Drosophila melanogaster: one gene and its partners. The protein of the gene in region 1 purifies or fractionates together with the protein of each later gene. This does not show direct contact. Each region holds a gene or a part of one and is shown in the gene's direction. Other genes may lie near its edges.

What was found.
Region 2: the proteins of CG4872 (region 1) and Plod purify together in Drosophila melanogaster (affinity purification with mass spectrometry, with the first as the bait; one large-scale study listed by BioGRID). This does not show direct contact.
Region 3: the proteins of CG4872 (region 1) and CG5194 purify together in Drosophila melanogaster (affinity purification with mass spectrometry, with the first as the bait; one large-scale study listed by BioGRID). This does not show direct contact.
Region 4: the proteins of CG4872 (region 1) and c12.1 purify together in Drosophila melanogaster (affinity purification with mass spectrometry, with the first as the bait; one large-scale study listed by BioGRID). This does not show direct contact.

The regions. Positions count from the first base shown.
Region 1 is NC_004354.4:16,879,542-16,883,355, forward strand, and holds CG4872 (uncharacterized protein), read left to right. Parts: upstream 1-1,805; 5' UTR 1,806-1,913; coding exon 1,914-2,709; intron 2,710-2,779; coding exon 2,780-2,977; exon of another isoform or gene 2,978-3,068; coding exon 3,069-3,142; 3' UTR 3,143-3,249; downstream 3,250-3,814. Other genes in the region: Nprl2 (nitrogen permease regulator-like 2), read right to left, coding at 3,311-3,814.
Region 2 is NT_037436.4:11,202,952-11,207,552, reverse strand, and holds the start of Plod (procollagen lysyl hydroxylase), read left to right. Parts: upstream 1-1,536; 5' UTR 1,537-1,597; exon of another isoform or gene 1,598-1,683; 5' UTR 1,684-1,740; coding exon 1,741-1,819; intron 1,820-2,562; coding exon 2,563-2,648; intron 2,649-3,880; coding exon 3,881-4,020; intron 4,021-4,078; coding exon 4,079-4,601. Other genes in the region: Ube3a (ubiquitin protein ligase E3A), read left to right, coding at 1-355, 418-756. UniProt on the Drosophila melanogaster protein: Forms hydroxylysine residues in collagen type IV. Required for the secretion of collagen type IV (vkg) from haemocytes, fat body and follicle cells.
Region 3 is NT_037436.4:9,008,101-9,011,625, reverse strand, and holds CG5194 (uncharacterized protein), read left to right. Parts: upstream 1-1,787; 5' UTR 1,788-1,864; coding exon 1,865-2,044; intron 2,045-2,096; coding exon 2,097-2,594; intron 2,595-2,644; coding exon 2,645-2,875; 3' UTR 2,876-3,002; downstream 3,003-3,525.
Region 4 is NC_004354.4:9,317,391-9,320,866, reverse strand, and holds c12.1 (c12.1), read left to right. Parts: upstream 1-1,643; 5' UTR 1,644-1,744; coding exon 1,745-1,875; intron 1,876-1,938; coding exon 1,939-2,587; 3' UTR 2,588-2,952; downstream 2,953-3,476. Other genes in the region: c12.2, read right to left, coding at 1-280, 355-782, 1,000-1,050, 1,183-1,375. UniProt on the Drosophila melanogaster protein: Involved in pre-mRNA splicing.

The DNA.
Region 1 (3,814 bases):
GTTGGCCAATAAATTCGTCATTGATTTTGGCCCGCAAATTTATGCGCAACGAGGCGAAATCCTTTTTGGCCATTAAGTTTTGGCGCTTGCCCAATCGTTTAGCAATTTATTCAAAGCGTCAGGGCGACAATTCACTTTTCGGATATGGATTCTTGTGATTGGATTTGGAATTGGAATCCAGCTCAGAATCGGGGCGTTTTTTTTTTTTGTTTTTAGCTGCCGGTGTGGCTTTTGCGCAATGCCAAAATTTATGGCCAACCACTTACCCGGCAGCAAGGTCAGAACAATCAGAAGTGCTGCTGCTGGTGGTTCTGCAAGTTCTGTTGGTTCTATTAGTTCTGGTGGTGCCACCGCCGTGTCTCCAGGAGTGGGGCATGCAACAGGTCACCGCGATAAACCAGGAGCCGCTCCAATGAGTCAGCAGCAGCAGCTCGACTTTGATTTGTGGCACTTGGGGGCGAATATAAATCAGCCTGCAACAACAACAACAAAAGGCTGCAGACCCACCCTACACACAGGCCCATGCACTCGAAAAAAAAGTAGAGCTCATCCTGTTCATATCGTGAAAGGCCGAAAAACAAGCTGGAAACAAGATTCCATATGCTGAGTGGTAAGTTTGTAATGTTTAATTTTCAATGTTAATAAAATCAAAAATATTCCTAGACATTGGGTGACTTTAATAAAATCAAAAATATTTCTAGACATTGGGTGACTTAAGGTGGTTTAAAAGTATCATAATTCAACACAATGCTATTCTTCTTATATAAAATCATGAAATACTCTCCCAATTTCTCACTGTGCACTGTAAATCCTAGCCGTTTGCATGAATGACATAATCAGTAGCCATTTAGAAGAATTCTACATTAGGAAGGGCGGTACTTTTCGCCCAGTGCATGGAAACCCATGAAATTGCCGCGCAAAGGTCAAGTCAAGTGAAATTGGTTGGGAAAAAGGCGAGAAAGCATGCGACGGAGGCGCACAGTGAAGAAATTATGTCAAAATTTGAATTAGCAGCTGGGAAAATAAAATGGCGCGACCAGAAAGACAATGGCGGCGCATAAATTAATTTCCCTATCAGCTGCAGCCTCGGAAAAGTGCATTCGCTTTTCACTTTCGTGTCGCCTGCTGCGGCTCCGAATTGGATTGGTCTGGGTGGGATTGGATTGGAGTGGAGTGGAGTGGACGGGTTGTGTGGGCTGTGGTTCAGTTTCCAGCTGTTTGCGAGAATCGTTTCGGGGCGATAAAGCCGTTGACAGAAGCGGTTTCCCTTTTTGAGCGCTGCGGTTTCGCCCTTGGCGTGCGGTGAAAATGCATTTTCCCAGCGATGCCGAAGAATGGGGAAAACTGCATTAGAAATGAGGAAAAACAGTCGCCCGTGAAAATTGGTTTTCGGTTGGTGGTTTTTCCCACTTCAGATAATGGTCTTTCCTGATTTAAACCGAACGTCATTGTTTTTTCTTCAATACGTTGAATATTATCAAATAATGATCACCTTGATCTTTCAATTTAAAATTTCAACGCTTTGCATCATCAAAGTTATCGACTGTTGATTTCGATAGGTGTTTAAATGATAGTAACGGTATTTTTTAGTTAATTTTTAAGTTTAAGTCAACAGTGCTGCCAAGATTTCAAACTAAATAAGCTTTTGTAAGACAAAAATGTACAATGAGTCCAATTTTCAAAATTGATAGAGTACAGTCACAGTATTTAAGCTTAATATATTTCTAATATATATTATCAGAAATTAAAACATTGCTTAATATAGTTATTTCCACAACAATATTCCTAAAACCTGGCATCCCTGGTCAGTGCATTCTTTGATCGTTAGTAAGATACTAAGTTGCATTCCAATTATAATTAGAATATTTTAATTTGCAAGAATTACTTTGTTTTAAAACCATTTCATTGCCAATATGAGCAGCTCTACGCCAGCTTACTACAATGCGGATGCTGTGCGTCAGGTTCTCACCTGGCCGCTGGTCAATAAGGCAGTGGAATCTGCACTTGTAGCTATAGTTAAGCAGAATCCGGAAACGCCCTCCACATCCTTTGCCTTTCAACCGAAGAGGACTTTTATTCCATGCGGCAAGGAACCTGGCAAGGTTCTGCTCACCATGCCCGCCTATGTGGGCAACTACAGGCTGGAATCGTCAAGGGATCCTGGGGAAGTGGAGCACACCCACTCAACACTGGCCTGCAAGTTGGTGACCTCGTTCAGTGGGAATCCCCGACGGGATCCTCCGCTGCCCAGCATCCATGCCCATGTGCTGCTGTTCGACAATCAAACCGGTCAACTGTCGGCCATAATGGAGGGCACGGACTTGACCACCTGGCGCACTGTATCCGCTTCACTGGTGGCCACCAAGTATCTGTACTTCAGGCGCTTTGGGGCGCAGGCGGAGCAGGAAAGGAATATCAACGTGGCCATCGTGGGCTGTGGAGTTCAAGGACAACTCCATGCTGCCGCTTTCTGCGCGAACTTCCGGGTGAGGCAGCTTAATCTTTACAATCGCACGCAGGCAAAGGCACTGGGTTTAGCGGACCAACTGCGGCAGAAATTGAACACCGAGAGCGGAACCCAGATTACTGTATGTCCAAGTCCTCACGAAGCTTGCCAGGATGCCGATATCATCTGCATCGCCACGTACTCCAAGGAGCCGCTTATCCAGTTGGCAGATCTGAAATCCAAACGGGCTGTTCATATTAACGGTAGGTCTGCTGTTATAATGGAATGCTGGATGGATGATGATGACCTACCCTTTATAACTTTCGATTTCAGCTGTGGGAGCCGGCGAAGTTCACTTTTCGGAGGTGGCTCCAAAGATTTACCAGCAGGCCAAGGTCTACGTGGATTGCTATGCCAATGCCGAGGCTGAATTGGTGGGATTACCTGCGCCGATCACCGCTGAAGTGGGTCAGATCATTCTGGATGGAAACTATCCCAAGGAGCTAGAAATCAGCATCTTTCAATCCATGGGTGCGTTTTTATTAAGTTTGTGTAACTATATGACTATCTCTGTCTGTTTCAAAGTTGTATCATTAAAAATTTCATACATTTCCTATTTAAGGCATGGCCTCGGAGGACGCCTGTGTGGCCCAGGCGGTTCAGGATTGCATTATCTCTAGCGCAAAGGATTCCTGATTGCTGTCCAGCTGGCAAAGCGATTCCGGAACCAGCCCAAGCCAAACCAGTGAATTCTTAAACTTTAATGTGTATATGCGCGTATATAAAAAAGCATTTGGAAACATAACAATCGGTTCGCTTACAAACTACAACAAACCCAACTGGCCGGAGAAGTCCTTCCGGTCGTCACTTCCAGATCACAGTCACATTCGTGTCCTTCTCGATATCCCGCTCGATGGTGCAGGGCGAGAGGCCCGTCTTGCAGCAGATCTCGTCAAAGCTGATCAGCCCGGTGTACATCTTCTGCCGCCCGGAAGGCACTGAGCCCGTAAACACCGGGTACTTGTGGATGCAGCGAATGAATCGGTGCTGCAGCCCGAAGATCACCATGCGACGCTCATCGATGTTGTGGTGCTGGGGGCACAATCTCTGGCAGATCGCTCGCAGAGTAACGCCGTGAGTCATCGAGGCGTAGAACTGAAAGATGCGCTGAACACTGGGCAGCGTCTTGTCCGGACGCAAGGCCACGTATTTCCGGCATGCGCCGCTCAGTGATGCGCTCTGGATGAGATGCTTTAGGTTCTGCGTCATGTACACGTTGCTGTACTTCAGGATTGGCAGCAGCTGAACGACCCCGTAGTAGACCAGATTCTGTATGCACGACTTGACCAGGTCCGTTTCCACGTCCGC
Region 2 (4,601 bases), on another chromosome or scaffold:
CACGTTCGCAGACCTCAGCGACTGGAGTCCGGCGCTGTACAAGAGTCTGAAGTCCATGCTGGACTATCAGGGCCAGGATATGGAGGAGGTATTCGAACAGACCTTCAAGATTAGCTATAGCGATGTTTTCGGTGATGTGGTACAACACGAACTGGTGCCGAACGGCCAGGATGTACTGGTGGGGCAGCACAACAAGGAACTGTTTGTCAACCTGTACAGTGATTTCCTGCTTAACACGAATATCGAACAGCAGTTCAATGCTTTCCGCAAGGGCTTCGAAATGGTTACGGACGAATCGCCACTGAAGCTGCTCTTCCGTCCAGAGGAGATTGAAATGCTGGTCTGCGGCAGTCGTGTGAGTAGCTAAATTCAAATTACGAAATTCATTCGGTTGCTGAACTCTGAAACCTTCGGCAGGAATTCGACTTTGTGGAACTGGAAAACTCCACTGTGTACGAGGGCGGCTACACGGAGAAGAGCCAGTACATCCAGGACTTCTGGAGCATAGTGCATGCGATGCCCAGCGAGGACAAGCACAAGCTGCTCGAATTCACGACGGGATCGGCGCGTGTTCCGGTTGGCGGCCTGAAATGCCTGCGTCTGCTAATCACGCGTCACGGTCCGGATAGCGATCGGTTGCCTACCTCGCACACCTGCTTCAACGTTCTCCTCCTGCCCGAGTACAGCAGCCGCGAGAAGCTGGAGGAGCGCCTGATGAAGGCCATCAACTACTCGAAGGGCTTCGGCATGCTGTAGACTATGGTCCAAACTGCAAGTGCAAGTCTGTCATCTGGAACTGATACCACCACCTCTCTGGGAAGAAGATTTCGAAGACTTTGATCGGTTTGAGTTCGTTTTGGGTTCTGCCATTTATTTTTGATACGACCTGTTCAATGAGACAATATATACATACCCAATATATGTGCTCAATTTATATGGTGCGACGGCGAAGCGAGCAGACCGAACGGACACGCGATTTTGTTTCCCTTCTTTAGCCCAGTTAATTGTACATAAACACACACATAAACACGCCACATACTACATTATGTGAACTTACCCTAGGAACAACACCCACATTTAAAAACAGTACGCGCTGAATATTTTCCTAAATAAATTTAAAGTAGTTCGGCGAAGAAACAGATGTATTTTCCATTTAGATTGGTTTTCGCAAGTATGGAATATTTTTTAATATTAGATATTTTTAATTTAAACTAAGATTACTAACAAATTAAAATTGTGGAAAAAGATTCATTTAAATTATATTTACATATTTAATTTAGTATAGAAACATCAAATACAAAACATTTTGTAAGCAATATTTCACACTAGCTGACATTTAAATTTCGGTGTGAAGTACTTTTTATTTTTTAACTTAAAAAATAACTTGTTAACTTTATTTTTTATTTAGTCTAGACACATTTAAAAAAAAAAGAGGTGTGAAAGCCTTATTTCACAACAGCTGACTTGGGACTAGTGGATTTTTTAGGCCCTTTTTTTCAGGCGATATTTTCTAACGGCTTAGCCGCAGCCACACATTTGTTATTCGCGTTTCTGAGTTTCTTGCGGGTGGGACTCCCGATATTTTGTGGAGCGGAAGGTGTTTTGATTTCCTTAGCATTTAGCACAAAAAAATGCAACTAGTATAAAGTACTGTTCACTATAACAATTTTTAACCACCGATAGCGAGTGCTTCACTGTGTGTGCGAGTAAGAGAGAGAGAGAGCAACTAGCTCCAGCATCATGAGAATACAACAAAGCGCCTTGTTGTTGTTGCTGCTGGCCGTGACGTCGCAAGGAGATGCCGAGTCCAATTGGAATGGTTTGTTCTTAATTTCTAACTAGAATGAGTTCATCAGCAGCCATAGAAAATTATATTGCATTCATGTTTTCATATTTTTCGATCTTAAGTGCATTCCACTGCCGTACTTATTACACAAATGCACAGAGATAAAAAGGGATGTGATGCGGTTGGTTTTTTCTTATCATTCTTGATAAGAAACTAGAACATCCTTTTCTCGTTCAAAACATAAAAAGTCCGAAATGTAGTTTCCCCTTACTTTTTTCTGTGTATGTGCAGTACATATCTCAGAGAATTTGTTTATGATCCATATACCACCCGACCACATCTCTCCTTGCCTTTTAATTTGCTTTTGTTTTCGTTTCGCTTTGATGCTGCGGTCGTTTACTCTGGAATTGCTCGGAAAACGGAGCAGATGCAGATTCAAGTGTTCAGATGCATCTGCATCTGAGATGAAAGATACAAAATGGTTCTCAAACAGCAAATTCGTTTACACATTCAGAAATTAAACTGCTTTAAACAAGCCGAACTTGTTGTCTAACATGTATTCGTTATAATTTAATGACTTCAGACAATACAATATCATTTTGTTGTATTCTAATTAGAACCCAAAACTAGAATACAGTAGAGCTTACGCAAGTTCAACGAGCAATATAAGAAACTATTAAATTTATGTTAAATTACATTAATTAAAAATAATCCAAAAGTAATGACTTACTTTCTATTAATCTTTACTATTGATTCATATATATGTTAATTTACAGACAAAATCAAAGTGTTCACTGTGGCCACTGAACCCACCGATGGCTATACTAGATATATTCGATCTGCACGAGTCTACGATATTGAGGTGAGGATTCGTATTAATTAGAGCATTTTAAAGTCGAGACAAGAAATTGTTTCACACTGTCTATCTAATATCTATGAGCTGCTATAGTTAGGTATTATGGTTAGCGGAAAAAGAATTATAAAGCGGTTGGAACTTTGAAACTTGACAGTTCATCAAGAAAGACATTCTACCATCTGGGATAAAAATTAGAGAACATTAAATACAGTTATGCATATACTTCTGCCTGAACAAAATTGGCCAACTTTTATGTTTAATAGAACATCTGCGAACAACTCTTCATATGCAAATGAGTTTTGATTGTTTTTATTGATGAATTTCTAATTTGACGACACTCTCAGACAATAGAATTTTCATAAAAACTGGTATATAAGCTAGAACATAGCATTTATGACAGATTAGAACTGGACGATGTGAGTATGTATTGTATTGTCTTAAATGAATCAAGACTTGCCCGGCGGCTTGGCACACTTAGGCAACATTGTATTATTAAAATGTCTGGTTAGCATATAATATAGTAGCTATATATATCTGTGCCTATTCGCCGCTACCCGAGCATCCGGCGTTGGCGTCCGATTTTCTGATGTGGAACACCGAGATTGGCTGCTGGACATTGTGGGGGCAACGACAACATGTAGTCAACATATAGTGCACACATGTTGAAATCACGTACGCCAAGGAGATTCGGTGCAGTCGCCGGGGGTAATTAGCACAATACATTGGGATTGGGTTCCCGATTCATTGATAGCTTAGAACTTTCTACACCAAGTCGATGGGAGATTTCGCTTATCGGTGACACTTTTTGTATTGTCGGCCGGCTTAGAAATTTTGTTGTTCAAAAATATATATGCACGACAATAAAATGTGCTGATAAGCTCGCTTAGCCGGCTTTTTTTCATGGATTGAACCTGATCTCTCCCCCTTTGCTTTGAATTTCTATATATGTACATTTTTTTTTTGTATTTAAAGAACTGTGCGACCCAAGATATTTAATACCGCAGCGTTGCTAAATGAATGAAATTTGTGATTTGGTTTCCTTTAATGGAAAAGATATGATTTCTTTTAAATTTTGTGTCATATTTTTGGTTGCTTTGTATATGTTTTATATAATATGAGCTTGTAGATTAAACAAATATATAGATTTAGGTAGCTTGTTAGTCCAGTTTGTTGTCAGTGATAAAGATATACGCATCAGATCACTGGTTAGCATTTAAAATAATATTTAATCTTTAAAGGTAACCACCCTTGGCTTGGGAGAGGAATGGAAAGGAGGAGATATGCAAAAGCCTGGCGGCGGATTTAAGCTCAACCTTCTGCGCGAAGCTATTGCTCCGTATAAAAATGAACCCGAAACAATCATACTCTTCACAGACAGGTTTGAAATTCAATGAAAAATCCAAAGGAGTTGTTAATAATTAAGGTGTACTTTTTAGCTACGATGTGATTATCACCACCACGCTGGATGAGATCTTTGAGAAATTCAAGGAGTCTGGTGCCAAGATACTCTTCTCCGCCGAGAAATACTGCTGGCCCGACAAAAGTCTGGCCAATGACTATCCCGAAGTGGAGGGCAAGGCCTCCAGATTCCTCAACTCGGGCGCGTTCATTGGTTATGCACCACAAGTTTTCGCTCTGCTGGTGGATCCAATTGAAGACACTGCCGACGATCAGCTATATTTTACAAAGATCTTCCTTGACGAGACCAAACGCGCCAAGCTGGGCTTAAAGCTGGACGTACAATCGCGCCTATTCCAAAACCTACATGGTGCCAAGAACGATGTGAAGCTTAAAGTGGATCTCGAGAGCAATCAGGGCGTTCTACAGAACGTGGATTTCATGACAACGCCTTCCATCATCCATGGCAATGGACTTAGCAAAGTGGATCTGAATGCATATGGCAACTATTTGGCCAGGACTTTTAATGGCGTCTGCCTTTTGTGTCAGGAAAATCTTTTA
Region 3 (3,525 bases), on another chromosome or scaffold:
GCAGCAGATGTCGCAGGTCCCCCGGATAATTAATGCACTATGGCTGTTGCTTTTTACGCTGCCACATTTGTTGCCCGGACGCTGCAAGTTGCCTCTTTTTGTTGGCCCATGAAATTAGATACACTTTGTCGAGCAGCATTTTTGTTGTGTAAACACGAATTTGGGGAACTCGAAAAAGAAAAGGGGGAAATTGTTTCCTAAACGAAAGTTAATTAGTTATTAGGGGGAACTGGCACTGTCGGTGCTAATGAGTTGGAAAAGCATTTTACACGGAGCACGCGTGGCTGCCACTTCAAATTCAAGTCTCAATTCGAGAAAGAATAGGGATTCATTCTAATGGCTACAAGGAGTAGAATATCTAAACCCATTGGTTAATAAATTACGGTTTCCTAAGTTTAAAAAGAGATCTTCACCCTCATGCCATTGTATACAGCAAATAATGCTGAGACTTTAATTTTAAAAACTCATCTGAAAAACTTTAATATTGCGTTTCCTTAAACTCTTTTTTTAATGCCTATAAGATCCAACTGAAACCCTCAAGATTTTCTCTATTGGGATTAATTTAAAGCACTTAGGAATCTAGAGTATATAGCCCAAATCCCGGAAAGCCAGCGTCTGAGCCGATCTCTGAAACTACAAGTCTAGTCTGCGCCCGGCGTTAGGCAAACAAGATGGCAACAATACGCTGGTACTTGAGATTTCATTGTTGGCCAATGCAAATATATTGGTCGCGAGGAGAATGCAACAAAGCGTGGCAAAGAAAGGTCGCCGTGTCGCCGGGGCCAAGCCATAAAACGGATGCACCGGCACCGACCCAGGTTGTCTGGGTTCCGAAATCGACCTGTACCATCCAACAGCCAACCCTACTAAGCTGGGGTTTTAAACTAGAGCAGAACAAACCCACCACCAAGATGAGGCTCAACAGCAGGAAGATTGGCCAACGGACAACAAAGGCCGTGAAAGCAGTTTATGCAAATGGGCTCACATGTGGGCTGGAAAATGCATACTTTGCATATGAGGAAGGGCGACCCTTTTGGGCTGGCACAATTAACAAAGCGTGTAATTTCTCAAACCTATCGCGTGAACAATGGCACAAACAATTAGAGGATAATGAAAATCACCCACATAAGCAGGTCCACTACAGTTCTCACCGGATGGGTTTGGTGCATATGTATATGATCATATGGGCAAATCTGTGGATCAGTTCGAAAATACACGAAGGGGAACAATCATAACCGGAGCACAATGGCCGTCGTCAAGTACGCACATCCTTTATAAAGGTCCGTTCACATTGTCCTGGCATTGTTTACAACTCTATTGAGTGCAAAATGCAGCGGCATTGTTAACGGCTAGATATTTGCATACTTGTCTTGTCTTCCAAGACAAACCACAAAATCAAATTCAAATAATTACGCGCCATTTAACGAGGGAGTTGCGAAGCTCGACGAAGTACTTTCCATATGCCCGCTTTTCCATTAGGGTATGTTCTATGTACTGTATTTTTAATAAGAAATGTAGTACATTTTACAGTCTAACCAGCAAAATTTCTAAATTGTTTAATAAGATTAAGGGCGAGTGTGGAATATAAAAATAATATCCTTTTTTATAATTCTCATTCAATGTATTGTTTTTCTAGAAAAAATGTTCATTAATATTTATTTATTATTATAAACATTTAATTTTTATCAGGACTGTGAACAGAACAAAAATAAAAGCGAAAATTATATCGTGTAGATAAGCCCTTTGGGGAGTGACAGGTGAATAGCTAGCTCGGCAGCCCTGGTAGTGGTTGTCATTTTGACTTTTGCGCCATTCGGATAAAACAGATTTGCAAGTGAAACATTTAACGATAATAAGCATAAGAATGAGCTCTCTTGTTGATACCAGTCACTCGGATATCGATGACAATGACTCCTTCCACTCGTTCGACCAAAGCGAAGATATCATGGACAACCTTAGCCTCTCGCTCTCGGAGAGCGACTGCGACAGCGCCGCGGACTTTGATTCCGGCTCGGCGGATGAGATTTCCATGGAAAAAAAAATGGCAAGTAGAATAGATTTTTATGTGGCCCATAGTGTAAGATAATTTCCCGTAGGTTGGTGCACCCGCCCAGCTGGGCCAGGGCGCAGGAAATACTTTGAAGCCCACGCCTTCCGACGTCTTCGTAAAGCCAAAGTCGCCCGTTTTGGAGGTCCATTCCAGCGACTCATCCACCTGCGATGGCGTCTCCGCTGGCAAGCCCACACAGGTTGCGGGCTGTTTCAAGTCTCCCAAGAAGTTTACCGTTTCGCCGATCAGTGAGCAGAAGCAGAGACCAGTGCCCTTGTGTCCCAGAGATGTTCCGGGACTTTCCTCGAGCCAGATACCATGCATAAAACACTTTGACCTTGACCACTCAGTAACAGTCCGAAAAGAGCACCTGATCTCCAATCCCGAAACGGAGGCCTTACAAAAACACGCCTTCACCGAAATTTGGATCGATTCGCAGCAGAAACCTTGCCAGGCCAAGGTTTCTCGCTTGCAGCAGTTTTCTATGGCCCTGGAGGCCTATTTTGACCAGGATTCTGACAAGAAGGATCCGGAGCCAGCAAAAGTATGTTTAAAGTTTAAATTAAATTATTTTCTTTAAACGATATCTTTCAGACCATCACGCCTGCTCCGAAAAGTGACAAACCCGTGGAGAAGGTGGTGTATGTGTCTCCCTTTCCGGACATTCCCATACCACCATCAGCTCGAAAAGAAACTCGCATGTTGAGCGGAGTTAAGCCACCCAATATAGTGCCAGCTGGCTTTGATTTGACCCGATTGATTGAGTACAATAATCCCAATCACTGGCACCGTCGTCCCCACATGCGCACTGGCGATAGCATATAAACTTGATTAGCACAACATCTTGATCAACATTGTTATTTTCGTAATCACCACACTCAACTGACCGATTGGACGTTCTTTTTGTAAAACTGATATCTTTCTGCAATAAAGGATTCCGAACTACCAAAGCAATTAGAGCGCCAAACATATGCGACTGTCAAACTCCGGCAAAGACATAATATCGCCAGCGTTGAATGGGAACGTCGTCGCCGGCTCCAAATGATTTCATTGTGCTGCCGATAAAATTGTCGCCAGCGAAATATGTTGCCCGTGACTTTGATTTTGGCCGCCGCAACATTAATTTCCAAGGAAATTACACATGCCCGCTGAAGGGGATGGCTTGGCTTATCTGCGCTGGCAGATCGCCGAGTGAGCCCGGGTCGGAGCTCATTTGCCGCTGACATGCGAACGTTTGCTTTGCTCCGGCCCCAAACATGGACTCTCTCTTCTCGGCTCCAGCCAGCGGATGCCCCCAAATGAGAATTCAATAAATTTCAGGTAAAGGTAAGGGCAACAACAACAGCAGCAGGCAACAACACAATGGGCCAAACGTTGTCGTTAGTCTTTTGGCGACGTTTAACATGAATATGCAGTGTGGCTAATGTGGAGCCCATAAACACTTCCAGCGGCAACATGAATGGGCCAAAAAACAG
Region 4 (3,476 bases), 7.6 Mb from region 1:
CGGGCAGTTGGAGCACAGGATCCGCCTGCTGCAGGGTCAAGGCGAAGGTGAGCAACTGCTTCAGCTGCTCGCCGGGCACAGAAGGCGCCTCCTGCTGCAGTTCCTCGTACAGCTCGCCGTACGAATATGTGGTCACGTTGCGGGACTGGAAGCGGGAGCGCAGCGGTGGATCCAGTGGCGTGCCCTTGTACTTGTGGGTGGGCAGACCCAAGGCTACCACCCGGAATTGCTCCGATACGCGTAGCAGACCCCATTCGTCCAGCTGCTCCCGCGAGTGTTTCTAAAACAAATGAGAATGAGGATTAGCAAGCTTCAGAGGACTAGGAACGTGCACACAGGAAACAGCTAACATACCTCTAGAAGTTTATCGTAACGCTCCGGCGACATCAGGAACTTGCCGCTCTCCAGGTGCATCTCGCGATTCTCCAGCAGATTGTTTAGTATGGGCAGGACATTGCGTTCCGCGTGCTCCACTCCATCGAGGACAAGAACTCGGCCATTGAGCGCCGCTCGTACGGCTCCCTGATCGTGGAAGATGGCCGCCCTGTCGTTGATTTCACGTCGCTGCTTCAGATCGCTCTCGGTGGTGTCTCTGCTGAGGGCCACGTACTCCACCTCGCGCTGCGTCAGCTCCAGGAACTGCATGGCCAGCTGGCGGCGCAGCGGACCCGGTTGCCCCAGTAGAAACATGTCCTGACGCAGTGCATCCTTCTGCAGCATCCAGCGCAGGTGGTGCAGTGCTGATTGCGACAGCTGAAGGGTGCCATCCGATGCGTATTTCACTATCGGATTGGATGGATACAAGAACGAAAGGTTCGTGTTAAAACATAAATCATTTGGTCCTCCAAATACAGAGTTTATTAAGTCTCGAGTTCGGATAGCTTGTGCCTCATATAATTTGTCGATTTGGCCAATTATGAAATATAGCATGTAGCTTGTTTTCACATAGGAATTTTCTTGAGATTATAGTGGTCTTTTCTCGATGACCATGAGTTTTACATTCATTCCTTCGCTTTAGATCCGTGGTCTCTTTAATCCTTGATGTGTCTGCTACTCAAAGATGATATAATGACATGATATAATGATAATGATGAAATAATTCTGCGGCACCAAGATCTTTATGTTGACCTTTGCACTGTCCAGAGATCTTGGCTTCCCACTTCCCGGCATCCCCCTGCTCACCGTATTGCTGCGGCACCAGTTGCGGATCCTTGGGCTTGCGCAGCCGCACGCTCACATCGCCGATGGTCAGGCTGTCCTCCTCCGGCTGATCCTTGCCAGCAGTCGTGCTCGCCCAGCTTCGTCGTGGAATTCTTGCATTTCGGAGGCTGTGATGCAACAGGTGGCCGCTGCAGGCGCGCAAATTGGCCAGCATGGCCGTCGGTGGGGGATGGATAGCAGGGGGTTGGCTAAACTAAACTTAAAATCGCTTCAAGTTGCCGAAAAGTTTTGTTTTTCAGCGTTTTTTTGTTTGTCGGATAAAACGGCGGTGCTCCGCGCGTGTTTACCGTAACAATGCTGCCCATTGGTGCGCACAGCTGATGTTCCAGTGATGCCCAGCAATAGCCGCCCTTATCACGGTTAAAGTCCGCACTAAGCGTGTATCGAAAGGCCTATCGGTCAGTGTGACCGTGGTACGGCTCGATTATTGGTACTGTTGATACATCAAACAAAGCACGCAGTTCGGAAATTCATTTCACTTTTCATCAATTTAACAATTAAACGCATAACTAGCTAGTTGAAAATGACCACAGCAGCGCGTCCGACCTTCGATCCAGCCCGCGGAGGATCCGGTCGCGGCGAAAAGGATCTGAGTGCACTGAGCAAGCAGTACTCCAGTCGCGATTTGCCAGGCCACACGAAACTGAAATACAGGTAAGGATTAATAGTAGCCCACATAACAATTTCCTTGTCTAACGAGAACTTGTGTTTGCGCAGGGAGACTGGCCAGGGCACCAGCGATGAGAACCGCAACCGTGACTTCCGCAAGGAGCTGGAGGAGCGCGAACGTGAGGCGCGCTCCGGAACGGGAGCCACTTCGTCGTCGTCGGGCAAGGCACTGCCCTCCATTGTACGCAAGGCGATTGAGGCGAACAACGCCGGCGGTGGCAGCAGTGCCGCAAAGCGTTCCAAGCCGGACGCAGGGCAGCAGCAAGCGCAGCAGGCGGCTCAGCAGCAGGCCGCCAATATGGACGCCGATGAGCCGCTGGACAACGATAGCTCCGATTCGGACAGCGATTCCGATGACGATGATGCCGCCCTGCTGGCCGAGCTGCAGAAGATCAAGCAGGAACGTCTGCAGGAGACGGCGCGTCGCGAGTCGGAAAAGAAGCAGGAGGACGAACGCATACGCATGGAGAACATCCTGTCCGGCAATCCACTGATGAACTATGAGCCCGGCACCGCCGCCTCGGCAGCGGGACGTGCCTCTGGACTGGGCGGTGATCTAAAGATAAAGCGCCGCTGGGACGATGATGTGGTCTTTAAGAATTGCGCCAGATCTGCGCCCGATAAGAAGACGCACTTCGTCAATGACGCCCTGCGCTCCGATTTCCACAAGAAGTTCATGGACAAGTACATTAAGTAGGCAGCATCTGGGACTCGCTCTCAAGTTTCAGCCGCGCTCTTTTTTTGTAATAGTTTAAGTAAAACAATTGTCAACCCTCTTTGTCCTTTCACCCCTCCCCCCACAAGCTGTTCATTAAATTTCGTATTTTGTAAGATAACTCTGATATCCAATAATCATAAACAATCTTTCTAAGCTAAATACCGATTGGTTTCGTACGTAGCAAACTGACCATTTTGTAAGGCATTTGCTTTTTAAGTTTTTCAGTTTTCTTTTGAACAGTGAATGATAAATTTCTTTAAACGAGAAACATATTTTTTAGTATGTATAAGATCTTTCTTATGTAATTAATTTTTGGAATAATTAAATGGAATGCTAGCCAGAATAGTTCCATAGGCGATTGGTTTATTGCTTTGTATACTTTGTGTTTGGTTAAAAATCCAAATAAGAACCTACTCATACACTCATATTATTTAGCAATTCGTATTGAGGTCGACTTTATTTGACGAATAGGCACTTTGGGCCATCTTCCTTCTGCGGGCTGTGACCCAATGACTGGCGGCTGACCGCGAGTGGAAGTCCGAGTGCGAAGGGCAGGAACCTTAACCAAAGTGTGAAACCGCAAAAAACATCGGTAGCCGGTCGAGGGACAACAGCAGCAGCCACCAGAGGCGGCGGGCCAGGATGTCAAGGGGGGTCAGGGTCAGGGAAAAGGGTAAGCGCTGGAAAGAGGGGCGAGAGGGGTAGCTGCTACGTGAGCGCACGAAGAAGTGCCCAAGAAGCGCAGGAAGCCCAATCATCATGGCGATCAGGGCAAGGGCAATTGTCGCTGCTGATGAGGCACGAAGCAAAATCAATTTGCCCCAAGGAGCCGGGCCAAGCAAGCGCAGAATAACTTGGTCAATTACGC